Linked DNA regions of Lytechinus pictus. The protein of the gene in region 4 interacts with the protein of the main gene of each other region in a pairwise test. Links are inferred from orthologs where the notes say so. Each region holds a gene or a part of one and is shown on either strand. Other genes may lie near its edges. The genes, in order: ATP-dependent RNA helicase SUPV3L1, mitochondrial-like; epidermal growth factor receptor kinase substrate 8-like protein 2; dynamin-1-like; intersectin-1-like.

What was found.
Region 1: the proteins of intersectin-1-like (region 4) and ATP-dependent RNA helicase SUPV3L1, mitochondrial-like interact in a two-hybrid assay, tested with the Caenorhabditis elegans proteins (2 studies listed by BioGRID). The link is inferred for Lytechinus pictus from reciprocal best matches to the Caenorhabditis elegans genes itsn-1 and C08F8.2.
Region 2: the proteins of intersectin-1-like (region 4) and epidermal growth factor receptor kinase substrate 8-like protein 2 interact in a two-hybrid assay, tested with the Caenorhabditis elegans proteins (2 studies listed by BioGRID). The link is inferred for Lytechinus pictus from reciprocal best matches to the Caenorhabditis elegans genes itsn-1 and eps-8.
Region 3: the proteins of intersectin-1-like (region 4) and dynamin-1-like interact in a two-hybrid assay, tested with the Caenorhabditis elegans proteins (2 studies listed by BioGRID). The link is inferred for Lytechinus pictus from reciprocal best matches to the Caenorhabditis elegans genes itsn-1 and dyn-1.

What each region holds. Positions count from the first base shown.
Region 1 is NC_087256.1:1,236,958-1,244,405, forward strand, and holds the start of ATP-dependent RNA helicase SUPV3L1, mitochondrial-like, read right to left. Parts: upstream 3,068-7,448; 5' UTR 2,796-3,067; coding exon 2,417-2,795; intron 1,778-2,416; coding exon 1,700-1,777; intron 707-1,699; coding exon 484-706; intron 1-483. UniProt on the Caenorhabditis elegans protein: ATPase and DNA/RNA helicase able to unwind DNA/DNA, DNA/RNA and RNA/RNA duplexes in the 5'-3' direction.
Region 2 is NC_087250.1:9,625,760-9,632,898, reverse strand, and holds the start of epidermal growth factor receptor kinase substrate 8-like protein 2, read right to left. Parts: upstream 3,054-7,139; 5' UTR 2,474-3,053; intron 1,232-2,473; 5' UTR 1,178-1,231; coding exon 1,101-1,177; intron 1-1,100.
Region 3 is NC_087259.1:16,671,843-16,679,962, reverse strand, and holds the start of dynamin-1-like, read right to left. Parts: upstream 3,106-8,120; 5' UTR 3,021-3,105; coding exon 2,857-3,020; intron 1-2,856.
Region 4 is NC_087248.1:26,509,058-26,517,075, forward strand, and holds the start of intersectin-1-like, read left to right. Parts: upstream 1-4,856; 5' UTR 4,857-5,033; intron 5,034-8,018. Other genes in the region: quinone oxidoreductase-like protein 1, read right to left, coding at 4,412-4,486.

The DNA.
Region 1 (7,448 bases), on a different chromosome or scaffold from region 4:
TTTTAATTTTTCCAAGATAAATTGACTTGCGGGTTAAAACCGGACGGGTCAACGGGTCCCGCTTGCAAATTAATGGATTGTACGGGACGGTACGGTTCGGGTTTTCACTTGCGGGTTACAACATTAATATTCTCTATTTTTCTTCAGCTATTCCATACTACATTCTATGTAGGTATAGTTACAAATATATATATATATCTCTCTCTCTCTCTTTTCCATTTCATTCCTGAACTTTTGACTCCTAAACTTTGTAAACATTCAAAATTTCATTGTTTCATGCTAATCTCAAATGATTTACAATCTTAAATGGCAGCTTTTTCATCATTTCTTAAAGATTATTTTAAATACTGGTAGTTGATAAGTTTGGTAAACTCTCCACTCCGACATTACAGATCTTTTGTATATCTTTGATTGTTTTTCTGAATTATTGCCCACAGGATACTATCCTGGTACAAAATGGTGCAAATGCAGATCAACACTTACCATTGGGCTGGGTCTGTGAGGTCACTGATCTTTTTCAGATCGTCCATGCAATCCAGGGCAGGAAAGATCTGGCGGGCATGGCGTATGAAGTATGGAAAGATGTCATCTATATGCCCCGCCCCTACCAGAATGTCACTAAGAATAATATGCAGATCAGGCTCCACAGACTCCACCTCTGTGATGTATTTCCTGAAGCTCATGAAACTTTGATGAAAGAGGTTATCTGAGAAAGGATACCAAGACATGAGATAAGCAGGACATCAAGCTCTTCATTCTTTCTTTTCTCTTTTGTGTACATCTTTATCAAAGCATTTTTCATATTTTCCTAATCATCAGGGGTGTGTCATGAAAGTTTTCAGAACTGACTAAATTATCAGCAGTGACAATTTTAGTGAAATCCAGGTTTCCAGTGACTAAGAAGCATTGATCTGATTGTTACTATAGTAACTATCAGAGATTGACAAGTTGTCAGTGCTGACTAAGCTTAATGAAATGGTGACCAGAATGAAACTTACCCGCAATGAATGCACATATGTAACTCACTTGGGAGTAATTTCAAAGCACCATGGTATCTCAAACACTTAGGCCTGTATTCTGAAGCCACGTTTAACTTCAACCATGGTTTAACTCTGTGCTAAAATTATGGAAAGCCCAAAATTTATTTATCCTTCCAAAACTGTTAAAAATGATTTGAGAGAACAATGAGCTGATACATTGAAATTATACTGTTTGAGATTTATTGCACTCTTGGTCATTCATAGTTTATCCACAACTTTAAACCAGAGTTTACTCTAGATTTAACCCGACTTGAGAATACGGGCCCTAATAAACTATGCTGATTTGTGCTGGGTAAGCACAAGGAGGTAATGTAGATCAACGTCTTCCCAGAGGACTATTGACTCAAAGACTGAAAATAATTTACAATGATCCAGACAGGAGTCAAGTGCCATTTCCAAAGACATTTATCCACTTGGTGAAGGACAGCTCCAGGGTATTTTTTATTTATTTTTTTTTTTTTGGGGGGGGGTTCATGATGAAACAATGATGAAACAAATTCATATCAGTAGCACGTCCAAGCATTCTTGTTACCAATACACTTCTATTTCCTTCATCTTAAGAAATAGTAAGGACAGTTGTGCCTCTGTAAGTGCCACTACAATACATGGTGCTGTCACTGCTGTGCCTACATATGACCATTCGTAAGAGATCATCTTACCATCTAATCCTTCTTCTTCGGCAAGCCTCTGGATAGTTGGCCTTTTTGAAAACTTTGTGAGAATCTTCATCAATTCATCTGTAAAGAAATTGAAAAATAAAAGAACAAATATAAAATTAATATGCATGGATAAAAAATCACTGATTTAGATCATACCTGATCTTCGGATCGGCAGCCAATAACGATCTAATCAAGGCTGATCGGCTGTTTCACGCCGATCATACGTGTATCGGTATGATCGGTGGCAATTTGAAATACCTCTTGGCGCAATATTTAAACAGTCTCAAAGTCAAAGTAACTTTAAAACATTTCCTGATAGATTGTGCAATTAATTTGAGATCGTCGTGACATCTATTAATTTTCATTTTCCTTTCCGACGAGGTTGAGAAAATGCGTCCTTTTATGTTTCTTTTTGGAGAACGGGAGATCATTATGAAATGTATAATAAATCTAAGCCGTTAGTACCAAAAAAAACAATTTCAAAACATTCACAATCGATCGTTCATTAATAATGAATCTGAGATGTTTGTGACTACATTCTATTTCATTTTCCTTACAAGAAATATAGCCTTATAGCCACCACATTGCATTACATCATAATCATGATAATTTAGAAATAAGCCTATAGACCCCTAAAGTAGAAAATATAAATAACAAGCATAGGCGATAGGCAGGCCTGTTAACATACTCAAGTTATTTTCAACATGATTTTCATACCTTTCTTGTTCTTCAAATTTGCACCAAGCTCTTCACCGATGTTTATGTCATCTGGATTATTAGCAGGTTTTACAGGAACAGGAATAAACAATGCTCTAACATTCTTGTCATCCTTGTCTGAAAAACTCCGACAGATCCCAGATGAAGAAGTTGTTAACGCCGGTCGCCCGCTCTCCCGACAAGCTCCTCCCGAATTCGCCGCGAATAAAAATGATCGACGACGGACGGAGTGGATCCCTGACCCCGGAGTTGCGGCATGGTGAGAGTCCAACGTTCTGTTTAAAATCGTTCGTGGTACTGCTGGAAGTGTTCGTTGTGCACAAGAAAAACAACGAAATGTCCTGACAATGGAATATGGCCGACCATATTTACTAGACATTATAAAACAAATATATACTATTTGACATCAAGGAAAAATGAAATACCTGCTCCAATTGCTATTTCAATTGAGTTCCTCCGAACTTATTTCCACTCGGGAATATTTAAGGTTACACATGTTGTTAACAAGTTTGTAACGTAGAGGGCCATCTTAATCACCACAACTTTTTTTGAGAGGGGGTGGGGCGTTTCTGCCCTTCTGGAGCAGTTATTTCATTCATTTCAGAGCAACATTTACATGCACACAAAACATATTTTCATTTTGCCTTGTTTGCACTTTCCTAGCACTTTTAATATATCAAACATAATGTTTTATTTTAGAATGAAATGCATGGTGAATAAATTGAAGGGGAATTCCCACTTCCATTCTGACATCAAGTTGCAGAAAAATAAGAGAAACACACTCAATGAAAGTTTGACAGAAATCTATCAAAAAATAACTTTGGAGACATGAACTTTTGTGATACCATATGCGAATATTTGTATAATCTCCATAAATTTTATATTTTTATATATTGAAATGATTGAAAATATTTTCATTGCAAGGATCTGTGTCTGATAGCATATTAAAAGAACAGGTAAAATAATTTTCAATTTTTTTAGAATTTTGCTTTTTAAGGAATTTATATCTCACAACAATCAGAGAGCTGCCAGCATGTGACATCACAAAATAAAATTAGAATATTTCTCAATTTGTTCTTTAATGCGTTTTCATGAAATCACATGAAATTTTGCTTTTATTAAAGCCAACATTATGCTATGGTGAACCCCCCCCCCCTCCTTTAGAGGCAACACGACTTTCTCTTTGCTTTTATTAACATCTCTCTCTTTCCCTTGTTCGTTCTCATGCTCTCTCTCTCTTCTCTCTTCCTCCCTCCCCCTCATACACTTACGTGAAATGTGAAGTTTGTGTGTAATTCCTTGGTTGTAAGAAGTGGCATGAGTGCATACTACACACAATTGAACTCACTCAGTTATTGTATCGTTTTGTTTTATTTTGTTTATGCAGTGCTTATCATTTAGTTACTAGTATGAATATTTGCACTGTGTCTTTTCCACTGATGGTTTCCTCACCATTTCAACCCCCTTTTCAGGTACTTTCAAGCAATAAAAAAAGAATCATGCTAAACACTTCAAATGTTGTATTCTTGATCATTTTCTTTTCACACTATCATCTAATTCACATCTTCATTAGTTCCCAGAAGAGAACAAATAAATAAATAAATAAGCTACATTACTGCTCACTTAAAACCATACATTATTATCTACAAATATAAGAGGGAAATTTTTTGTAACACAATCATATATGTTTACTGCACCTGAAATCTCAAACTCAATTCCATTCAGCTTGAATTGATTAAAAGGTGAAATAAATGAGAGTTGATGATGTCACACTTTCAATATTTTGTTTTTAAGTTATTAAATGATATACAGACCATTTCAGGTTTTGTAGATTTGATCACAAAAAAAACAACATTTGAATGATTTGTAGAAGTTACATTAAAGGTCATTGAATGGACAGATCCAGAATTTAATAGCAGGGCCCGCTGGGAGAACAGTTTTCGGAACTGAAGCGGCTACCCTGGGTAAATATACCGCTATTATTATTATCATTATTATTACCAGGGGTGGGGCAATTCCCCCCTTCTGTTTTGAGGAAAAAAAACCCAACATGATCATCACTCACAGAGAGCATTTTCCATACAATGAAAAATATGGATTGGGGGAGGCCTGCTTGCCCCCCCCCCTTGATTATTTAAGTCTGGGGCATTTAACATGTTCAAGCCATAGAGTCAAAGTCAAATCATGGTTTACAAATATAAGAAGGAAACACATGAAAAATAATATATTTCATTATAAGAAATAAATGCACTTAATGCGAGACAGCAACTGTTCCTTATTTGTATTCCACCCCTGATATACATATTGTAAAATCAAGCAAAACTTTAACTGATTTTGACGAAATTGCAAGCATTATGCCTGTTTGATTTTTCACTATCTACTTACAATGTAAATCAACTTGATGTTGTTTTCAATGCCCTGTAACTTCCATACATAATGACACTGACAAGTTTAACTTAACAGTATACATTTTTTTAGAATGGAAATCAAGAACCGAAGATGCTTTGAAAAACAAATAAAAAGGATTAGCAAAATAATACTATATTTTAAAATCAATATTGACTGGATATTTCTGAAAATAATGGCAGGCTAACTTAAAGTACTCTACAGAATGAAATTAAAATAAGACCTTCTTCTTATTTTTTGAATTTCTCTCCTTGTTGCACAATTGCAATCCTGAAATTACAGCATGAACATGAGACTAACAAAAAATGAATGTGGTTTACAAATTTAAAGGGGAAAAAATGAAGCAGCTCTACTTCACTTTTTTTCTATGTATTATGGAGTAGTTTCATCGAAGATACCCCAGGTAAAACTACAATTCAAAGCTGAAAATATTTCACTGGCAAATGCATAGGAAAACAAAATAAAATGTCATATTGACATTCAAACTTCAGGACAAGTTTTAAAAAGAATAGCAAATAAACTGCATAAAGTAAAGGATATAGGCATCATCCATCAAGTCATTATATATCTGTTTTAAATCAATATGCTCTACTACTGGGTGTATCAGAAAAAGGGAAGGATTCTTGAAAATATATCAAAGATCATAAACCTTATCATTATTTGAATGGTCTATGTTTCAATGACCACACATTATCTAACAACGCTGTTTTGAGCAACTGGACAAAAGAAACAATCACTAAGAACAGAAAATAATTGTACTTGTTCCCGTCTCATAATTTTGTTTTACTTTCAAGAACCTTCTGCTGCATACAGATTCAACATGCATTGGAAGTGAACCACCTGCTGTTTGCATTTTTGTAATGCATTGTCATATAAACACAATTCTCTACTTATCTAGCACATTTGTAGTTGCTACAAGTCTACAACTGTATATGTTTCTTTGCTGTATTTTATCTGTGCTTTTTACAATTGGTCAGGTAAATATTTTTTATTAATTTCTACTTGCTAATGATGGATATGTACTGATATCAGAAGTTGATTGTTTCAATGACCACAGACTCATAATTGTTTCAACTCATGAATACAGTGATGTGGTGGTTAGACCATGCAACATGGTAATTAACAAAATGAGTTAAAAATTACAGTGCATTTTTCTAGAAAAAGTATTGCAGTGGAACAGTTTTTATGGGGGTGGGGCGCTCTCCATCCCCATGACTCCTGCTAAGGCAATGTCCATTGATCTCAGAATCCACTCATTCCTTGAGACTGCTGTAACCTCTCTGCCATCTCCTGCTCCTGGACCTTGTCCTGTGCATCTTTCTGCATCTTCTCCATCTTCTCTAGTGTCACTGACTTCAGTGGAAGAAGTTTTGGTTTGCAAAGGACCAAGGTTGGTTGCTCCTCCTGATAGACAAGTCCTTGTTTCGGGAGCACCTCCTTGAATTGGTTCTTGTTGTCCGGCATATCTGATGAGGATTTGGAACACCACAGTTCACAGTGAGTACAACCACTGTCAGGATAGGGAGACAAAGTCTGATGTATAGATTTGATGAGGGGCTGATGGGCGTGTCCACGTCAATCTGATTTCATTCTATGTAAATGCTGTTCCTGAATGCACAAAAAATAATAAAAGAAAACTGTGAAGTGCTTGTTTGATGTTAATGTGTTGAAATAAGATAAGAAGTTTTCATTCTTGAAATTAAAACCTAATGACAGACTAGTTAAAAAACATTTCAAGTTGAATTTTTATGATTTTTTGTTTTTAATATCTAGGCCTAACTCTTGACTTTTTGGCCCGAATTCACAAAGGAGGTTTAAACCCCGAGGGGGTTTAAACCCCCTCCTGGGTTTTTTAGTCCACGGTTTAAACCCCGAGGGGGTTTAAACCCCCTCTCTGTTTCACCAACGATGGTTTCTTTAGTCCATGGTTTAAAATAAAACCATGGTTTAAACCATGGTTTTATTTTAAACCACGGTTCTGAGCATGCTCAGTAGAGCATATGTTGTCTGCTACGGTCCTTGTTGACGATGGCAAACAGGGTTCGAAAATCCAAAGTCTGGGGTTTGAACTACCGATTTTCGCTATCTTAATCGATTATTTGAAATGAAATTACATTAAAAACTTATTCATTGTTGGATGAGTCGAATTGTATTGTACATCCACTATTTTTAGATATATCACAAAATGCAAGAAATTGAAAATTTGTCTCAACCACTGCGGTCGTCTGCGCGTCGACGATAATCTCATTTCGGTCCCATCCATAGACATCGATGTCAAGTTTTTAATCATTGAATACATTTAATTCGGCTGAAAATAAAATGACAACAACCAGATGTAATATCAAGATTACCCGATGAAACTTGAAGTATGAATATAATTACTTCATCAGTTTCAAAAATAAGTAGTATCTTATCAGATAACTTCCTCATAATACTTACATTTTGGTGGTAAGCGGCATTTAATATGAAAATCAGCTGTTGATTTTGCATGTCTACGATCTCGATCGCTGAGCTGAGAGTTAACAACGCGCATGCCCGTACAGTCGTCCGGCAACCAATCTAAAGGCATGGATCTTCTAATGCCTTTTCAGTATAAAAACAACAACCATAACAAAGATTGTCGATC
Region 2 (7,139 bases), on a different chromosome or scaffold from region 4:
AATACAATCTAACTCATTTCTTTCTTCCCACGTTCACTTTCACTACCAGTAGAAAATTCAACCACAATTCAAGCCCCCTTCAGACACAAACATGCATCATAAATTTCAACAATCCAACCTAATGTGTCCAATACATTCTAACGAAAAAAATTTTAAAAAATCACCATCAATCTCAATACTACGAACATCATTCCTCAGTTTCCTCACATAATTTGCAAACTGTAATTAATTGATGGAATTCCTTCTCTTTTTATCTATTCTCTTTAACGCTCAGAGATATTTTCGTAAAAAGTGCTACATAGATGTTTGGATTATTATTATTCTATCAGATTAAGGCTTAATATGTGTACTGTAGATCCAGTCTGAGGTTACTTTGATATTCCATGTATGTCACATGATTTACACCATGCTGAGTACTGTCATTTGCTAACTTATCATACGGGTTACGAATACCATCTGGGCCCCAATGCATAAAAGTTACCATAATGGCACTTACCATAATGGCACTACCATGATGGTATGGTAATAAGGCTAGACAGCCAATCAGAATCAAGGATTCCATGAAAGATACCATTCGAAAGCACATTTACTATAATAGTAACTTTTATGCAACGAGGCCCTGGCATAATCCAAACAAAAGTTGATTTGAATACACGCACAGAAAACAAATTCAGATGCACTACATGTATAATACTCAGTGATCATTTATTTTAATGATTTCCCTTTTTATCAATAAAAAGTGATTCATGAAAGCAATACATTTATTTTCCTTTGTTTATTTACTTTTATTACACTGATGTACATATTTGCATATATTCACTTGTTTATTCAATCATTCATTTATTTAGTTATTTTTCAATCATTTATATGTTATATTTCTATTATTAATATTTATTTATTTTATTCATTTATTCATAAATTTATTTATATATTTATCATACTATTATAATTTTTTTATTTATTATTATAATAATAATAATTATCACTATTATTATTATTTAATTATTATATATATATATTTTTTTTGGAGGGGGGGGTATTATGGATTGCAATGACAAACTGAACATTCACAAATCATAACGACGAAAACGAATACTCACTGTGGATGGTGGCCCCCATGATGTCCGTAGGGGGACTCCTGGACGTACGGGTTCTGTCTTCCTGTCGGAATCGGCATCGTGGGTTTCGTTACGGTGTCTCTCGATCTCAAATTCTAAGATTCATCAACCACCTGAGGAAATGATATGAATATGAAATAAAAAAAGGTTGACTAGTAGACGACTAACAAAAAATGTCGAAAGTGGTCTTTGGTACATCACGTGGAAAGTCATAGAAATGACTAAGAAAAGTGAATAGAGGTACATACTCCTAAAGACAGCCAGTCAACCTGCCTGAAAGTTGGGTTTTCTCGCCGGCTCCTGCTCTACAACTCCTTTCACAAATTTTCAAACTTCCCTGACTTTCCATGACCACAAATCTTTCCAGGATTTTCCATGACTGTGGGAACCCTGTGAATGATGGTATTTTATTGTGAGGGGATGCAATTCTTGGGTATGTGCATTTTAACAAGCCTTTTTATTGTTTTTTGTGCATGCCCAATTATTTTGTTCATCTATGTTTTTATAATTATGTGACAACCATAATTTTATCATCACCACTATTTGTTTCAGTTATGTTCTGTTGATACCTACATGTATGCTTTGTTTTATGTTATTTATATCTCCTTTGTGTATGTATAATTTTGTTCTCATTTTGTTCATTTTAATGAATATGGAAATAAATGCTGAATTGAATTGAATTCTGCATTATCCAGAGTTGAATTCTATATAAAAAATTGTAAATTGTATCAGCAATAACAACTATCATAAATAGTTCACAAGTGATAAATAGTACTGTAAGTATCAAAGGTAGTCCTGAACTGAAAAGCAAACACACATGAAAAGTTATCAGAGATGATAAAATTGTACCTGTACATTCCAAAGGGCAAGTATTATCTGTAGACATAGATGTTGAATTGCATTGCAAAGCAACTGAATGTAAACAATAACATAGAATAAAAACAATTAATGATGTACAGTATGTGAGCCAATACAGAATTTACGAGTAAAATAAAAACCAAGATACTCCCGCTCTCTCATTCCCAAGCTCTTCCGCCCCCATCCTCCCCCTGCCCCCCCCCCCTGCAAAAACAAATGTGTTTGGTATCGGTTATTGATCAAACTGAGAAGAATGTTGTTTTCATGATATCAAAGATAGAAGTAAAAGGTGTACAAATGTATCTCACACAGGGTGGGAGGGGGGGGGTCATACAATTCTGGTTAATTTTTTTTCTGGTAAGGCATTTTTGCATGTAGCTTTGAACCCCTATATCTTATTATCCAGTAGCCTACTGGATCTGGGCGATCCCTGTATAAAGCCTATGAGAATTACAGAATCCAGCAGTCGAAGGGTTAACAGTGGAGTAGCCCAATACCTTCATCTGTCACTTCCAAGTGGGACTAAAGTCGGCAAAGAAAAATCCGCAGTCAAAACAGAAGTATTTTGCAGCCACTTTGGTTAATGATTAAATCCAAATTAAACAGGAACTATATCCAGAGTCGGTGGTATCCTGAAACTACTTGCAACTGTATGAAGCATCAATCTGCAGTGAAACTAGTAGGTTTTTATAACCATGTCCTGCTTCGGCTAAATCATTAAATCCAAACTTAAACCGACACTAGCACATCCACATCTCCGTAGTATTGTTTTGTCCAACTTCTGAAACTAGCAAAGGTATGTAGCAGCAATCCGCACTAAAAAAGTTAAAACCAACTTGGCTGCGGGACTGGCTAAATCCAAAATTAAACCAGAACAAACACGTCTATATCTTTGTTGTATTTCTTTCTCCAAACCCCGAAACTACAATGTAGCAAGGTATTCCAAAATATCCAATTTACTGCATTTCACTTGAAGCGCACAGGAGGACTTGATGACTTTATTCTAGGAGGTAATAATAATACACAAATGCAGTCAGCACAAGACCATGTACACACCTATCAATGCAATGGGCATATAATAGTTCTGGTTCTTTGCCCATATTCTTACCGCCCCATATCTAAAGAAGACCAATGAACCTTGGACTATGACGTTTCAATAGGACGTTTTCTAAAAGAACACAATGGTGAGGGTGTGTTCCCACAATAAACTTTGATTGCATGGCATGTCGTCCACATCCGGAAGGATATGTAAATCTGTAATGATGGCATACATGAAAATGTGATGATTGCATTTGTGAAATGATTGCCTAAATGAAATCATTGCCTGTGCCTGTATCAACTTTTTGCCTACATTATGACTGCCAAAATCAATGACAGTATTGATTCAAATGGTTGCCCAAAAGATTACTCATGATTGCAAATATTTGAAAATGACTGGCAATTTGATTTCCAAATCAAATGGGTGAAAACATGCAATGATTGCCAATATTTGGCAAACAAATCCTACATGTACAAAACACAATGATTGCCAATACAGGGATTCCAAATTGGAATTGAAAACAATGATTGCCAACATCAAATGACTTTAAAACACAATGATTGCCAATACAGGGATTCCAAACTGAAATGAAAAACAATGATTGACAACATCAAATGACTTCAAATTGCAATAATGATTGCGTAGTATTTACTTGCCAGAATGCAATGATTGTTTTAATTCAAATGATTGCCCAAAATTGTCAATATCAATTATAAGTACGGTACTAAATTAACACAAGCTCATGATTAATGTCAGTGATTTAAAATGAAATCAATCGAGGGATTGATTTTTTAATGATTTTTTATGAGCAGTGATTTTGAATGGGGGTCTGAAGTAGTCATGTGTGCCCTATTTGGACCTATGATTATTATCGTTATTATTACGATTCACTAAAAAGTATGAACAGACCCAAATCATACTTCTAAACAGCAATAGGTCACATGGGATCCTTCACAATATGGCTATTAATACGCTTTGCCATTCCTAAGCACTGGTTCATCCATGGGTGTATTATGGAATAACCAATGCACCGTGTCAAGGAATTTCATAACAATTCATAAAGCGCTTTTGTATAAAATGACAAGGTTGCGTTTCTCTATTTTTCAAAGAATTGTTCATGAAACCATGTAGGGAGGCTCTGGGTTGGGCACACATTCAGGGGATCTCACCCAGTTGATCATTTTCAATTCTTTAGTTATTTTTTTTTTTTTGGGGGGGGGTTTTGTTTTAAATCTTGGAATAAAAACAAGGAGATTGGATGGGTCGGCTAATGATACAGAGGTGTGAATATGAATAATCAATTGTAATACGCAAAAGAAGTGTACTGGAACCTGAGATCCCGAACACAAATCACAGCAACGGACTGTAACATTTTTCTAGAAACAATTACATTGACTACATGTACGATGTACAATAAATTGAAGATATTGTTTCTAGGATCAGCCTCTAGGCATGTATACAATATGGATCTGGGTCATATCTGTTGCATAAATACTTTAAAGCTAAATTACAGTAGTTGCAGTAAAACACTAATTTCGTGAGAAAGTCTGTAAAACCAAGGTTAAGGATGACTATATCATCGTGGATCTAGATATGGTACAGTTACATAAACTGAACTTTGTGAAATCATAAAATCTAAGCTGAAATACGATCACACTGAAGATCGCCAACACAGATAGGCACACGTGGGACAGTGTATTATTATTGCTGGAATAAAGACCCGACGGAAGTGACCGAATCCGCGCTTATTTTGCTTATTTCTCAGCAATTACACAATTTCTTCCAGAATCCTTTGGCACATATTTTTTATTCATACAAACAGACACTTGGGTGGTCATTATATTAGATTCCGTAAAAAGTCATTTTGAGATCGTTACCAGAACTGGAATTTACCTTTAATATCACAAATCCACAATTTCTATAACAAATTTACTCTTCAGCAAATGAAAATGAGTTATGACAGTAGCTTGGCTTTTAGTGAAAATTTTTTATTATGGAAGATTTTAAGGAACTGACCCTCAGTGGTCGATAGAAAGGCTTCCAGAAGACAATCATGCCTGGCCATCCCTTAATCTCCATAAAAAGATCTAGGGGCTCTTTCAAAGTTTCAAATGAAACCTAAAAAGTTATTGAACTACCAACTCTAATTTCTTTCTCTGCTGTGGCACACATAAGTGTGTGTATGCGAGTGTGGGTGGGGGAATACCATAAGTCCTTTACCGGGAATCCCATTCGGGAAGGGGGTAAGCGTCTTTTGCAGCACTTTTCCTGTGACATACCCCGTTGCTTTGTCTAGTATGATAGATGCTAGAATTAGTGCAAAAACAAACCTTGCAGGATTCCAGCAGGAATGGAAGCGGATGGGTCTTTTGCAGACCTGCCAACCTCTGGTAATGAAAAAGTGTATTATGTGATTAAAAAAAGTGTATTTTTCCCCAAAAAAGTGTATTTCATAATAAAATGTGTGGCGTGCTCGCTCATCGCGGCGCTCAAGCTGCATGCAAGCTAAAATGCGCACTGCTCTTGCAGATGAAAAAAAAAAACATTTAAACAATGTGTAAATCTCACCCTGGTTTTAACAAAATGATTGAAAAAAAAAGGACCAAATTACCTGAAATTACATTGATCTTACAACCATATTTGTGTAAGTTTTATGAAATAGAGACATACATAAAGAGATGATTTTCCTCAATAAATTACGATGTTTGTACTGCCGTATTTTGGTTGCAAAAACGTACTAAATACGCCCAAAACGTACTGGTTGGCAGGTCTGCTTTTGGTCAGGCTCCTGGTGCAAATATTCCAGAGCAGAATGATTTTTAAAAAAGAGTTTGTCACATTTGGGATCTATAGAGTGGCTGAAATAGAAATTCTGATGACAATCGAGTAAAAAAAGGGGGTCCCATCCACCATCCCCTGCCCCCATCTAGCCCCCTACAGACCTGTTGATATGCCCCGAAGCAGTGCCATCGCTGTACTTCCCCTTGATAAGCCCCTCTCCTTTCCATTTCAATGTAGAGAATAGTCCAGGAATTCTATGTATGCCAAAAAATTGTTTGCCTTTATTGCAATTTCTATAGATAGTCCAAATCCAAACAGCTTTGTGTGTCATTTCAATACAGAAGGCCAGTTCATCTCGCCATAATCGAGCTTCATTCTTGTTGTATTTGCCAAGCAATTTTTGCGCAATTCATTAGGTCAATTTCCTGGGTGTTGATCTTTACCAGTTGCCGTGGCGACTGGCATATTACCCATTTCTTGCAGATTGTGAGCTTGAATGCATAATGAAGAGCATTGTTAATAATGTTGGAGTGAAATGACATGCCAAACAAATGGTTAAATATGAATAGAGGATGTGGTACATATTTCAAATATCTGCAATAATTGTGTTTTGACGGGTCTCAGTGAAGTGTCATTCTATAAAGAAAAACTTCGCAACTTCTGAAAAAAATGTCTTAAAGATAAATACCAGTTGTGGTACGATCTCAAAACAGAATCCAATAAAATTACCAACAAAGTGTTTGTAAACAGTGTATAAATTAAAAAATATGTGGCAAAAGGCTCTTGAAAAAAATGTGAAATTGATGAGAAATGAGTAAAATAAGAATGGAATTCCATCAAATGTTGGGTAATTTTCCAAGCAATATTTATACACTGTCACACATACACTTTCCTGTATTAGTGATCATCAGAATTATCGGTTTTTAGCTAATATTTCATGATTTCTCAAAAGTAAGTGTACATTAATGTGCCAGATGTAGATATGTATGGTAAAAGAATGATGACAATTAATCTTGATTTAAAATATTTTCTCATGAAATATTTTTTTGCTGGAAGTATCTTCTTTTACCTTCAAGCGTTTTTTGGCACACAGGACCTCTCACAAGATAGCTATTGCACTATTTAAAGTTAATAACTTTACCACAATAATTATCTTAAAACCAAATACTACTTCCTATCCCTCTTTTCATTCAAAGTGATCGGTCCTTAACAACAGCTTAACATTTCAGCTGGAATAACACAATGCCAGGGAAAAAAACCATTACATGCTTGACTGAGAAAATATGTCTTCGTGTATCCATAGGAGTATTGTTGTGGTGAAAATATTTCATAAATATTACGAT
Region 3 (8,120 bases), on a different chromosome or scaffold from region 4:
AGTTCAGGCTGCATATTTATTCTTTGCCAGGTTATCCTCATTTGGAAAAGTTGTACATAATATTTATAGATTTTGTGAAGTTTGTTAACACTGCATGGGATTACAAAAAATGTAATTTTTGCTAGTACATGTATGAATAATTACATATTGGCCTACGTGTAGTTTGATTTTAATATATTAGTAGCATTCTTATCCCTACGTGTATCATATGGTGTCTCCATGGGCCGATTGCACGAAAGGGTCTTTCCAAGGACCGTCTTTCGTGTCGCCCATCTTTTATGATACGCCATGTGAAACGCATTTCAAATAAATTATCTGCAAATATATTTTATTTGTCCGTTAAAATAAACAAAATATTTGTTTATAAAATGATGTGATATCTCATGAAATTGTATAAAATTTGATTTAAAAGCAAGCTTACGAATTTTATTTGTTTATCATAAATTTCAGAAACACCCCGCTTTATAGCGCATCATAAAAGATGGGCGACACGAAAGACGGTCCTTGGAAAGACCCTTTCGTGCAATCGGCCCCTCTTTTCTCCACGTCATGGGAAAGGATACAGATATGCAAGAGAGTACTACAGTAGGGAAAAGAGAAATTGAGCAATCCAGAGTAAATTTATAACATACATGTAGTAAATTAATCAAGTTTTTTGTAGAGTACCCGTAATTCAATGAATGGTAGGGGGTCCTAAAGCTATGCAACACTCGTCGCGCATGTAATTTCAATGGCAAAATGGGCACTCTGTGCGTGTGAAGTACGACTGCAGAAGACAAATGATTCCTATTCAATTTTTCTACAGAGGCTGCAAAATAACTAAATGCGGAGAAAACCAGCAACTGTTTGGAATTTGGGAGTAATATTCACTTTAATTTCACATTTTCCTAAAGTTACATGTATGTATAGCATATTTTAGAAATTGAGGCACAGGAATTTCTTTGCATGATAAATTAAGGACCCCTTATGTACATCGGGCAGCAAAATCAAGGTGTTTGGAAAACATGGCATGGCAGGATTTTCGTATCAGTGAGTTTTGTGATATTTTCTTCTTTAGAATATTATACACAAATTAGTGAAAGATAATTTGTTCAAATATTAAAACTGGCATAGTTTTTATCGTTTGTAAACAATGTGCGTAGCTTTAGGTCCCCCATCATAATAAAAAATTAATTCATAGAAATTGAAGTCAATTACAATTTTTTGCAATTATAATTACTTTCCCTTCAAAAATTTGAATTACAAAGTTAAGCAGCCTCCTGTTGGGTCTCTTGCTGTAAACCAAGAGGTAGTTTTTATTTGCACAGTGCACACTCACTTTTAATGTACATACAGGTACATGTATGTAAGTGAAATTTAAAATTACTTCAACATGGCACCTCGCACTGATACACAGAACGTTTTCATCCTGGGATAGCTTTGAAGCTGCTGAAAGGGATTACTCTTCTCAAGTTTCAAAGATTACAATTTACTCATAAAAAGGTAATTAATTTCATAATTGAGCTCAACTCTGACACTTACTTATAAGAATATAGGAATGTTACAGTGTATGTATGTTATCAACTGACAATTTTTGTTGAATAAAGAATTCATGTTTAATCTTAAGTTAAATTCTTAGATACCCAGACACGGGGCCCCCTTTCATACACCTCATGTCAAAAATGCACTGAAAGTTTACCAGAGACCCGGGGGGGGGGGGGGCACTTAGTATATAATGCATAATGGGTATGTGCCGCGAAGGGGACCCCCATTTTTACACTCAAATTTCCGTTCCAGGGCATAGCATTTTCATCTTATTGAGAAAAAGAACTAAGAAAGCCGCTCCGAAGCATAGCATTTTCTTCTTATCGAGAGAAAAGAAAGAAATCCGCTCCAAAGCTTTGCATATTTTTCGTTACGCCGTTCCGGTCGCATTGATCCGCCACAATGAACTGCAATTTTGGTGAAAAGCGGCCGCAGAGTGCTGTCCGACCATCGCCTCTGCGCGAGCGCACCCGGTGCCCGTGCCGCTGGGTTAGCTGCATACACGTATGCCCGCTCCATAGGGATGCACACGCAGGCGACCCGTTCCAAGGACCCCCGTTTTCACAAACATTTGTAGTTCCGAGGACCCTCCTTTTTACAATAAGTCCGCTCCAAGGCCCCCGTTTTTGTCTCGCCCGCGGCACATACCCACCACTTTTTTGGTTGAGTACCCCCCCCCCCCCCGGGCCAGAGACACAGTTGATCTATAAAATAGGTTAACCTAAAAATTTGCATTTTTTCCAGTGATAAACATCTTTTTTTAATGCTCAAGTAACACAGGTAACAGCTCAGAGATAGGCCCTAACAAAAAGTCAAAACTCCAAAAGCAACAATTTTTTTATTTTAAAACATCTGCGAGCATCTTTCCAAGAGCAAGATTAAAGAATCAAGATAAGATAAAAGATACAAGAAAAGATACATCAATTTCAGCCCGGCTCGATCGACCCATTCCACAATGCAATCACAGTCGATCACACAAAGCCAGAACAGTCACAGTCTACAGTGCAGAGCGGATCAACAGCGTAGCTCGGGCCGGGTCGATCGGGCTACGTCTAATCACCACCAGGGTCTAAGCCGCAGGAGATCGGCTTCCGCTCTGGACCTAAAAGCAATACCTTTACATTTTTGCTAATATGATCCTCATATATTGTAAATAACTAAAATATAGTTTAATATCATATTCCTAAGAATCAGAAAATTGAATTTAAAGCGATTATATTGAAAAAGATGTGCTATAAAAGACCACAATTAGTTATTGATTGAGTGAGATTGAGAGCCGGTTTTTTCCAACACAAATGCACAGAGCTCAGCGCTCATTTACACTCGACTCACCTCCCGACAAAATTTTCGAGGACACTGCTTTTTCCTGCACTCTGACCGCCAACGACGGCAATTTGTGGCAAATCCAGCAGACCTCCTACTCCAATGGCAGAAAATGCATCTTGCAGTCGATTAACAACTGGAATAAGATCTTCCATTCCCTTATTCCCAGCCATGATTGCGAGTTTATTTTTCTTTTCGCATAAATGTTATTGCAAAATTAAAATCCTATGATGGCCGACTCCCCCCTTCACGCGCATGCGCACGTAAACCGTATCAAATTTACTCGCGCACCCTTTTATTTTACGTTCTAAACGAACGCTACGATACACAGCGATCATATAAGCAACGAATTCAACAACTTCTGGCTCCACTATTCAGATTTCTTTTACTACCTATTTGCTATTAGGCAAGTTTACAATGACGTCATTCATTATGTGTCATCCTCCTTCGCCCCAAAACAAAAATCCTTACCAGGAAATCACATTCCACTCAAGGAATGGAAACCCTTAAAATAGAAAGCGAAATAATCGTTTGTTTCATATCCTTGTTGTTGCATTGTGAATTCCATGCTTCCTGATATCTGAAAGAAATCACTAAATTAAAGTTCGAAGTGTGATACACCTGCCCTATCATGGGAATTCTCCTCATTTTTTTATTTGGGGGGGGGGGGGGGGTTATTTGCCTTTAAAAAAATCTTATTTGAACATAAATCATAACTAGGTAAGCGTATTGTCGACCTTTAGATATTTTAATCAGGGGTTGCGCCTGATGGGTGTCATATTCATATTCTTCTGATTGTATATATTGTATTTGGCTCTGCCCCACTTTACAATGTTACTTTAATTACAGTAACAGAACACCATGTAAGTACGCTCCCAAAACACATGCAGGGTTTATGTTGGTCCCACAATGGAATACTATAATAGTCACCCCTTGCCACCTGTACCTGAGCTTGTTAAATTAAGGGATTCTCCTCACACCACTTCGGTGCAGGCTGCTATACTAAAGAAGGCGAGGGGGGGGGGGGTAATGTATTTTTTTTTCGAATCTCTAATTATGAAAATGAATGGACCAGTTTAATTGATTAACAGATTTATGTATATGTTCATGAATAACTTATTTTGCTGGTAACTTGGTGTATTATTTAGGAAGTTATTTGTCAGTTTATGTTTGCATTTCACGGCTGTTTGTAAATGTCACTGAAAGAATCAATTAAAAAAAAACTTTCAAACAAAAAACTTGCCTCCAGTAACTTGAGGGAGAATCTTTCCTCTCACAAGCAGCTGTCTATCACCTTGAGCATCGGTCCCTGGTTTTATTAAAAACCGTGACTTATTCAGTACAAGACCATTTAATTGTGTTTACCTTATATCTTAAAGATATCTTAAAGGCAGAAATTCTTATGTTTGAAAAGATTATTTTAAATTGCTGCATTGATAAATAACGTTTGTATTATAATCTTGACTATTTTTTTTACTTAGAAATCTGCTATATTGCTTTTAATTTGTATATCAAGATGTATAAAAAAAACAATTTGAAAACGTAACAAATGAAATGGAATGAAATGCTAAGAGAAACCGAGTGATGGCGCTAGCCCATATAAAAGAAAAGGTCGTTCAAGTTTCACGTATCTATGATGGCATTATTATGGAGATTCAGATTCCTTTAATGCATATATTAACTCATAAAGAATTGTGATGACAATAATGGTGCTGGTGGTGGTGGTGATGGTGATGATGATGATGACAACGATGACGACAACGATGATGATGAGGAAGATGATGAGGATGATGATGATGACAATGATGATGATGACGTTGATGATGATGATGATGGTGATGACGATGACGATGATGATGTTGATGACGATGATGATCATGATAAAACTTAAAGCTTTTACACCATATACTGTATAAAAAATTAAGATGAAATTATTATTTGTACCATGCGTCCATGCCTGCTTATTCTTTATTCATTCAAATTATCTGGGTGCTCTCTCTCTCTCTCTGTCTCCTTCTCATTATTTTATACACTTTTAGAAATATATTGCGGTTGACACCCAGCATGCCCAGTCCCATATACCGTGTGGGTAAAAAAAAATCCAACTCACAAATCCCCAATTTAAGGGTAAAATATGACACGAACATTATTATACATGGCCTGAAGGAGTATCTTCTCCCAAATAATTAAATACCATATTTATGTGATATTTGTTAACGCTTGGGTAATCAGGATTTTTTTGTTTTTTTTTACTGTGATGTAAAGTTCGATTTGCGCCAAAGTAAGGCATGGCTGCAAAGGATGAACCCAGATGTCATTGGTGTCATAATCTTATATAAGTATATATTCTTGCATTATTATGTAGTACACATATCTGCAAATCTCCCCTTTCAATGAAATTAACATGAAACTTGATACTACAAAGTGTTTATTGAACAATTAGTATGTTAATTATTGAAAATGTGTTTTGCAATTGAGATTAATGCAAACCCTTGTAGGGTTATGACATATACATCTGCAATGGATTCATTCATTGCAGTCATGCCTTACTTTGGCGCAAATCAATATTTACATTATTGCAAATAGTATTTACTGATTATCCAAGTGTGAAGACATACCATATATATATGGTATCAAATTGTTTGAGAGAAGATACTCTTTCTCGCCATATATAATAATTATGTCTTCATGACATATTTTTCCTTGAATTGTGAATTTGTGAGGTGTCAAGTTTTTTTTAAATCACACGGTAAATATAAATATATACGTCATGGTACAAATTATACACAATAATTTTTATACTCCAATTTTCAATAGTCCTATATACCAAGTCAATGGTCTGAAACTTGTCCATTGACTCTCACTTCGTACTTTTCACGAGACAACTTTCGATGATTTATCAAACAATTTAGTGGTGACCTTTGACCCGAATGGGATAATCAACATACCCCAAGCTGGAACCTGTAAAGTGCCGACACCTTTTCAAGATTTCCTCACGCTCCACCTCTCAAAATGACTCCGGATTTTGGGTCAATACGGCCATTTCTTGTGCCTTTTACTTCTTATGATCAATCAATCTTATTCACGCCCGTTATTTATGACAGAAATCGGACTTTTACGGCTGTAATTCTCTGACGAAGAATATGGCTTTATCACCGATGAATCAGGGGTTTAAACTTTAAGCGATTTCAGATATTTCATGAAAATGCGAAACAATCACATACAGAAACAAAAAACATACCAAAATAGTTTCAAAATAGTTATAAAAATTGTACATATATTGACAATGGCTTCATTTTTGTTTATAGCTTTGGTGTTCCTATACACCGGGGGGGGGGGGATTGGCCCCTACGAATAATTAACCCTAAATGATAGAAACATCATTTAAAGATTTTTGCTACATGAAAACCTCAAAAAGTATTGTCATCGTTTTTAGTTTCAGCATGCAATGAGAGACATTTCGTGAGTGAATAAATATTCAATCTAGGCCTATTACATATTCTAGCTATATACACTCTTAAAATGTTGGGTAACATACTGTTCACACAACAACTGGTTAAAAATGTATCCAACTCTGGGTAGTTTTTGTTTTCAACCAATACTGTGTAGTTTTCACCCAAACCACACAATATTGGTCTAAAACTGCCCAGAATTGGATAAAGTTTTAACCAATTATTATGTGGACAGTACGTTGCCCAACATTTTTAAGAGTGTAGCTAAGTAAATTTATAATTGTACTGAATATCATGCATAAATATAATATGGATCAATACAAAATAAATTCAAAACTAATTATGTAACATGTTTGTATTTCTTAAACACTCCAGTTAACTACTGGCTAATCCAAACGAACAGAAGCTGCAGCAGTCCTATGCACAACCAAGTCTTACAAATGGTGGCAGCGGTGGGATTCGAACCCAATACTGATTTAATTTATGACGCCTATACATATAGATCTACATAAATGTATTTCTACACATGATTTCTGATCTAATTCATTATCACCAGGTAATCTAAATGCCTTTATCAAAATTTATAAAGAACGGGGTTGGCTGGCGCGCTGACTGAAAATATTTTTAAGACACAACAGACAGATTTTGGAAAGGCCATTAACCATTAGACAACATTTCGAATTTTCCATATTACTGCTTTCTACGCCTGAAAACACGTGTGAGCTGTCCATCAACAAATTAGTACCTTCTCAAGTCCAGAGAAGCATTAAATATCGTAAAACCCCGATTCGAACACGATCCACACGAACGCTGTCACTTAAATTTTAAACACAAGTTTTTTGTGTTTTTTTTTAAATAGGAACACTCTACAATTATTCAAAATATCATAACTTTACAAAATAAAAGGTTTTTATAATAATGGCAGGACTGCTCCTGAATATTAATGGTAAAAAATTTGACACTTTTTTATATCCAGAAATCTAATTTTGCGACAGATTTTGACATATATACCACCACCTGTATACCCCAGTGGACCTAGGCCTGTCTTAATTACGCTTGCATCATCATGGTTATGATTGAAACAGGTTTTTTTTGTTTTGCAATAGTATTTATTAAAATCATTCAGTTCAAAATCATACAAGTAATACTAAATTGCAAAATGTTAACAAAATGACATTCTCAACAAAAGCACTGTTCACAAAAGTCAAATAATTATTCATCATACAGAAAATTGCACAAAAATCATATAGTATTTCGACATATTTATACAAGCTCGTAATAATATTTTTTTTTATTGAATTAATCATTTAGTTAAAAAACATATACATAACACATTATCTGAAAGAATATTGCCCAAAAAAGAACTAGGTAAATACCTAGTCTAAAAATACAAAATATAACATAAAATTAATCTACAGCGAAGCAGTGGAATCAGATGAAACTGAATTAACCAAAAAAAAACATACACCCTCCCACCCTTGGACTTGTTGAGATGTCATCGATATCAAGTTCATAGGCCAGGTTGCAGTCATACTAATCAAACTGACTTCAGAACGATCACGGCTAGATACTTTGTTACGACTTTCATACCATGGGTCGGTTTGAAGTCGGTTTCTTTGGTGCATGTGACTGCGATAGTCTGGCAGTAACGGGTTCCTGCGTCCGTAGTTCCACCATGAACAACGGATTCAAGAACATAGAAAATGTATTGTCAAATGCTCTTCATGACAATGAACAACCAAGAAAAAGTCTTTGTCCAAAATCGATGAATCAAAAGAGCAGTGACGTCCTGGAGAGCGTTTCATGAAAGGACTTGTCAGA
Region 4 (8,018 bases):
ATCAGGCAGATCTCAGTCAGTTCATGTTGATGGAACATCCTCACCACGAGCCAGTGTACTCTCAGGCGTGCCGCAAGGCTCAGTACTCGGGCCTGTGTTATTCCTGTTGTACATCAATGACATCTGTGAATGCATCTCATCACCAATCAGACTCTTTGCTGATGACTGTGTGCTGTATCGCAAGGTCAAGACAAGAGCTGACCACGCCATTCTCCAGCGAGATCTTTCAACATTATCAGATTGGGCAAAACTGTGGGATATGTCCTTCAATGTCAAGAAGTGTGCCCACATGTGTATCTCATTGAAACGACAACCCTTGGCTTGCAACTTTACCATCAGTGACCAACCTGTTCCAACGGCAACCTCCTGTAAATACCTCGGTGTGACCATCACAGACAACCTGAGTTGGAACTCCCATGCACAGAAGATATCCTCCAAAGCTGCTCGTACTCTTGGAATCATACGTCGAGCATTGGGTAAATGTGACCTGAAAGTGAGAGACATTGCATACAAGCAACTTGTCAGACCACAACTTGAGTATGCTTCATGTGCATGGAATCCTCACATACAGAAAGATGTACAAACATTATTGAGAACATTCAGCGTCAGGGTGCTAGGTTTGTCCTTCATGACTATAGCAGAGAATCCAGTGTAACATCGATGTTGTCAACTCTTCACTGGGATACTCTCCAACACAGACGCATTCTTAGCCAATGTGAGATGTTCTACAAAATTCATCACAATTATGTTTACATCAACATGCCACATCAGATTAAGTTAAGCAGCAGTTCTCGTCCACAACGTTCACAACACACTGGACATCAGCTCAAGTACACCCAGCCTTTTTGTAGAGTGAACTGCTACATGTACAGTATGTTCCCAAGAACCATCCGTATTTGGAATACTCTCCCAAACGCTGCTGTAACTTCGACCTCTATACCTGGCTTCCGGGGAGCAACATTGCCTATCATTCAGCAAATGTTGCCTCCCCCTCCCCTTAAGATGCTGTAAGAGGGACACACACGCACCACCCGCACACTGCACCTAGCACACTGTATATAGTGCACCAAGAATACCACCACAGGATCACCACATCACCTGAAGCACTGGCAGCACCTGACATAGCACAACCCTCTCCAGGACAGCGTGTACGCTTTTGGGAGAGTACTTCTTCAAGGTTCAAGGTTATAGAGGAGATCCGAAAAATAGCGAACTAGTTTGCTACAATTCCCCCTGGTGTATATATCGAGGAGATCCGAAAAATAGCGAACTAGTTCGCTACAATTTCCCGTAGTATTTATATAGAGATCTGGAAATAGCGAACTAGTTCGCTACAATTCCCCCTCGTGTACATATCTAGGAGATCCGAAAAATAGCGAACTAGTTCGCTACAATTTCCAGTTGTATGTATATAGAGATCTGGAAAATAGCGAACTAGTTCGCTACAATTTCCTGTCGTTTGTATATAGAGGAGATCTGGAAAATAGCGAACTAGTTCGCTACAATGCCCCTTCGTATATATATAGAGGAGATCCGAAAAATAGCGAACTAGTTCGCTACAATTTCCAGTTGTATGTATATAGAGATCTGGAAAATAGCGAACTAGTTCGCTACAATTTCCTGTCGTTTGTATATAGAGGAGATCTGGAAAATAGCGAACTAGTTCGCTACAATGCCCCTTCGTATATATATAGAGGAGATCCGAAAAATAGCGAACTAGTTCGCTACAATTTCCTGTCGTTTGTATATAGAGGAGATCTGGAAAATAGCGAACTAGTTCGCTACAATGCCCCTTCGTATATATATAGAGGAGATCCGAAAAATAGCGAACTAGTTTGCTACAATTCCCCCTGGTGTATATATCGAGGAGATCCGAAAAATAGCGAACTAGTTCGCTACAATTTCCCGTAGTATTTATATAGAGATCTGGAAATAGCTACAATTCCCCCTCGTGTACATATCTAGGAGATCCGAAAAATAGCGAACTAGTTCGCTACAATTTCCAGTCGTATGTATATAGAGATCTGGAAAATAGCAAACTAGTTCGCTACAATTTCCAGTCGTATGTATATAGAGATCTGGAAAATAGCGAACTAGTTCGCTACAATTTCCCGTCGTTTGTATATAAAGGAGATCTGGAAAATAGCGAACTAGTTCGCTACAATTCCCCCTGGTATATATATATATAGAGGAGATCTGGATTTGACAATTTGACACGTCGTATATTATAGACTAATACAAGGAGATGGCTACAAATTTCGACGCTTATATATAAGCGTTGAAGATCGCTATATTTGCCATCTTATTATTTCCCATATATTATTGATCATAAATCAGTATTTCATGGTCTGTTATTTATTTTGTGTACAACTTATAGGTCTGGGTCTGCTGAAAAATAGGCTGGCAATTTAGTGAATCTTGCAAAAAAAAACTTAGGCATATTGACTCACTGAACTGTGCGATCTCGATTCTCTGCCTTTTTCAGTCAACAATGAGTATTAATCCAAATAGTGAGTTTGGTTTTTCTTCCATGCCACAGACTTTGCCACTTCTTAATTTTATCCAAAATATTTCAAAATATTTTTAAAATATAGAAATATCAAAACATTAAAGTTATTCCCTTCATTCCTTTTCTTCAAACATATAGTTTTATTTTATAGTCAACCTACGACGCTACGCTTGCCTCCTCTTCAAACTTAAATTTGCCTCTTTATAAAAAGGCAAATTTACTGGATACTGTACAGGATATATAAATGTAAATTCCCGATCAAGATATTCATGGTTTTATATGGAATTAATTTTGATATTATAAGCGACTGAAAACATAAATTTGTGGCTAATATGTCAAAACATTATCTGTCCCACGTGCAAACTATGTCCCAGTGATGACTTGTGAGAGAGTGAGCTCTGATCATCATCATGCTGGTCTTGTGTATCGTTCGATTTCGCATCCAGGTGGGTGTTTCATCAAAGTTGTCAGCCCTGACTAAATTGTCAGTGCTGACCATTTTAGTGAAAGCCTCGCTTTTGATTGGCTGAGAAGCTCCCGCCTCTGACTGTTACTGTGGTTACTGTTGGGGAAAGAAACTTTTTAGTGCTGACAACTTTCATGAAACACCCTGGCACCTAAAGTGCATTAAAAATCAGCGAAGCAGGTAACCTTTTCAATTATTCAGAAATTTGTGAGCAGGATAATTTAGTTGTGTCCATGCATGCAGTGTCAAGCCTCTGACTGTTACTATGGTTACTGTAGGAGAAAGACAACTTTTTAGTGCTGCCAACTTTCATGAAACACCCACCTAGGCTAAAGAAGTGCATTAATTAAAAATCAGCGAAGAAGGTAACCTTTTCAATTATTCAGAAATTTGTGAGCAGGATAATTTAGTTGTGTCCATGCAGTGTCATGATTAGACCATGGAGCTATTTAAGCTTCATGATTAGACCAAAAGCTTCGGTCTGTTGGCTGTTCCACTGAACTCCGTTGGCTCCACTCACCAAATACAGAGACCAAAGTTCTAGCTCGATCTGTACAGGGACTCAATGGCCATATGTTTATGTATTAAGTTCGGATAAAACAGGGAAGTGAAGTTGCGCAACAGCCGAAGTAAGTCACTGTTTTTTCCCCTTTTAAGTTTAGTTTTCCCCGTTTTGGTGCATTTCAGGCCAAAACACGTAAACGGATACTTGGTATGATGTTCCTCCGAAATACTCCAAGTCCAAGTCCAAGAAGAGTTTATTAAACTGGAGTGGAGGTGTATACAGTTCTCCTTGTAATTTGTATATTTATGAAATAAAGACAAAAATTGATGAGCCCCATTGGGGGGATTTTGCATTGTTTACCCCCTACTATGGTGGCTGCACGATAGCGAGCCGTCTGTGTACGAGGAGAAATTTATTATTTAAAAAAATGTTAAAAAACTCCTCGAAACAGACAGCTGGCAGATGTCTACGTCATGATTTGCATTTGAATTTAAATTAATCACTCCATCCTTTTTATTTTACCAGTTACAGTCAGTATAACAACTAACATTATTAGTTAAAAAAGAACTTCAAAACAATGTCTTTGTCAATGCTCCTTCACTCCTTCCCTACCAGCTCTTTGACTTTCTCCCTCCAACCCTCAGTCACCCCTCCCTCCCTCACTCACTCACTCAGCTATGTCCTGGACCGCCTCGGCCCCGGCTGCGCCCTTGGCCTTGCCGCGGCGGCTGCCGCGCCGCCGGCGCGGCGAGCAAAGGCAGAGCATGCATGCCAAGTCCCATGACACGTTGAGTGCAGGGCGCGGAAGCCAAAGGCACGCACACACATAACTTAGTAGTACTTACACGGATGCAATCATCATCAAAATCAAATCAAAGTTCCCATAGTTCGATTCAAATTCTGTCTTAACTTACAGATTCACGTCACTCACCTCATTCCCAAGTAAAAGTTCTTTTTTTATGAGCGGACCGTCTGATCTTACTGACCAATAGACGAATTTCATCATGAATATTCACTTCTGGCTTTCTGCTTGAATTGACCGAAAGTCCAGTAACTTAACGTAAGCAGACGATATATGTCAAAGGTCATAATTGTGATTATTTACTGCTGTTACATGGATTTCTATTGGTTCGTATAGAAGGGGCGTGCTAACGTTAGAACTTTTATTGAAGACTGATTTGCTTGTTTTCTTGATGTTTTATAAATCGAATAATATATTTCATTGTGCAATGTGTGTATCAGATGATTCAATTACAGAATTGCCAAGTCTGTAGCTAGTATCATTCATTCCGTGTCTACTCTGAAACTTGTAATAATTCCACATTCTCAGAAAATTGACCAATCAAACTTGCGCTTTCTATAAAGGTGGGTGGGTTACATTTCCTCTAAGTTAGGTTCTACATGTAGCAAGATGGGCGAGTCCACTTTCTGTCTCCGGATCGAACCGAGCTGAGTTGATTAACTTCTTTTTTTACTAGAATCCCCCTTCGTTCACCCTTTTCAAAGGACCTCTGTCATTTATTAAACATTTCATCAATATTAGAGTATTACTGGTGAGTATGATTTCCAAATCGATGTGCTGCCAGCCTGCCACTGCACTCGTTGATGTGACCTGCGTGAGTGGGGACGGATGTGTGACTGTCTGTGAGCGGTGAGCACTGCCACCACTGAGTGACATGACTGAGCTGATGAGGCCTTTCCTTGGCTTTATTATTGGGCTGTGTCCTGTGACCACACTGGCCTGAGCCTGAGGCTGTGGTGCACTAGTGTGACTGTGGAGTGTGGGCAGTGTATAGGCTATCATTGAATCAAATAAATATCATGTCTGTTTCCGTAGTACAAATGTTGAATATTAATAATAATGTCATGATAAAAAAATAGAATTGAAAAAAATATGCCGGATGCCGGAGTCATCATGTAAATTGTAATGTGTGCCCAAAAATATATATATTGACACTTCAAAAAAACTCCAAAGCATAGATCTAATTCCATAAAAAATTAATAATATGACCAAAAGTAACAAAAATGCAATTACTGAATCATATAAAAGCCATGTTAATTCCGTAGTACAAATGTTGAATATTAACATGATTAATGTCATAGAAAATAGAATTGAAAAAATTATGGTAAACGGAAATTATTTACTTACTACCAGAAGCTTGTTTTTTGCCAAAAATCGGACGCAGTTTCCAATTATCGGACGTGTAGAGTTGTGCGCCGCTGCCGCGATCAATTTTGGCAATTTAAATCGCGCTCTAGACTCCAAAATAATTGCTCAATTGTTGATAAAATAATTTTAGCTGCGCAATGCCGATTTTAATAAGGTATTTCTATCAATGATTTTGATATAGAAATCGGTAAATAATAATTTACTTACCAAATGGACCTCTTTCGGCTCTAAACATCGGACGTCTTCGCTCAGCTGGGCGCGACTTTGTTCTGAAAATGAGCGCGCGTGCGTTAACAGCTCACGCATTTCCAATTCAATCGGCCGATATGTCCGATGTTTGGGATCGTGCCATACAATGTATTTCCTGCCATGGGGAACCCTGCAGCGGCCATTGCAGATTTTTTTTTGCGATAGATCGAACATGGGTGCGGTCTCGGCGGTGATATTTCCGGCGAAAATCACTTTCCCCTTAAGAGATTCTTCTGGAGTCCATAATTAGCGAGGGTCATAAGAATCTTTGCCACTTTGGAAGTCAAAATCATGGATTTTACCCCTGGAATATTTGTTTGAGCAGCAACCTGGATCTACTGTGTGTGCAGTTCAATAGTAGGTATGTTCATGTATCTCAATGCATGCAAGTCCCCCGCCAGTGCAGGTCCCTGTAGTTGTGGGGAGGATCGAGTTGACGTCATTTCCGTCCGATATTTGGAATCGTCCGATGTTTGGGGGTTTTACTCTAGACAGATTTAAAATTGATATGCTCCGCGGTATCCCATCTGTTAATAAGCCAGTTCACGGTTAGCTCATGATCAACTTTTCTCAAATGACCTTTGTGATTTTTCATTAGGATAAGCACTATCATTTTCAAATGTAGATGTTGCGTAAGCTTTACCAGTAGTAGAGTACGGTATTCAAATTCTAAGAGCAAAAGGCATTGTATAGACCAGGTGACTAGAATAGAACATCAGGGATAAAGTTTGGAAATCTGTTTATTGTCTGCCTTTGGCACATTTGACTATTGTTTAGGCTACTGTCAAATACCAGTGATTATGAAGGCTCTATTTATTACTCTTCATCTTGGATGTGATAAAATGAATATTTTGAAAGGAATACATGAATAATCATCAAATCACAAATGCCTATGTCAGTGAATTTGAAAGCCATGTTCCTTTTAATAGGCAAATTGCACAAATCATAAATTTTCAATTTTTGTAGGAATGCCATAGCAGATAGCAATATGTTAAGTTAAGAAAGAAATAAGAAAAATTATGTCTGACCTGATAAACCAAAACTTCACACATGGATCATTTGTTTTTTGTTTTTGTTGTCAATTATGTTCTGTGATGAAAAATAATAATATTTGATTTGGTCTACATGTATGGTGGAAGAAAATATTGCTCATTATTTTTCAAATATTGAATGAATTATTCTTTGTTCAATTAAAAATAATGATAAATGATGTCATGATGTACATGTACATGTAAAGGGTTTTGTTATTTTTTTTTAAAATAGATAAAGCAAGTAGTAATCAATGCTATTGCCACTAAAATCAGGGGGAAAAAATGCAAACCAAATCAATCAATAAATGTTCTTGTACGTACATTTGATTTCTAAGATAAATGCCTCTGTGGTAACAATTTCAAAATGGGTTCATACCATCCAAGTGTATCTTTGCACTGAAAAAGATACTGTGTCATAAAATTCAGCAAGAAATTGTGTCATTGCTGAAAAATAGGAAAATAAGCTTGTGATTCCAGTCAAATATCAGGGGCCCGTTTCTCAACACCGTCATAAGTCTAACTTCTTGACTAAATCGAAGATGGTGAGCTACTTGTCCGCTTACCGTTTCACGACGCCCTCTGCCAAGATCGGGGACAACAACCTGACTAAATATTATTTTATGACAACTCTGAACCTGTCATAACTTCTTTCTTAATGACATAGTGGCTTCACGTGGGTAGACTATGACATGCGAAAGTGCCTCGAAATTTGAAAATTATAATCTTACGTAATCATTAATAGAAGTTGAAATTACATTGAAAAACTTGTGTGATAGATCATTCAATAATAATTGTAATGCACAGTAACTATAAAAACTGTTGGTAAAATGCAACAAAACCATTCATTTTTTAATAAAATAATGGAATCGATAAAGATTTTACCACGTCAGGTTATCCATAACTGGACTCGTATTCGTCGTTTTCAGACACTTATCAACATTTTTGATAAATTCTATCTCTAATTTATGCAAAGAATTCGTCAAATCGTGTGTTTAGGTATGTAAAAATTTATGTTAAACTATATTTTGATGATGTTTGGAACCATAAATAAACGTATAATTATCATTACTTTACAAAGAAAACAATTG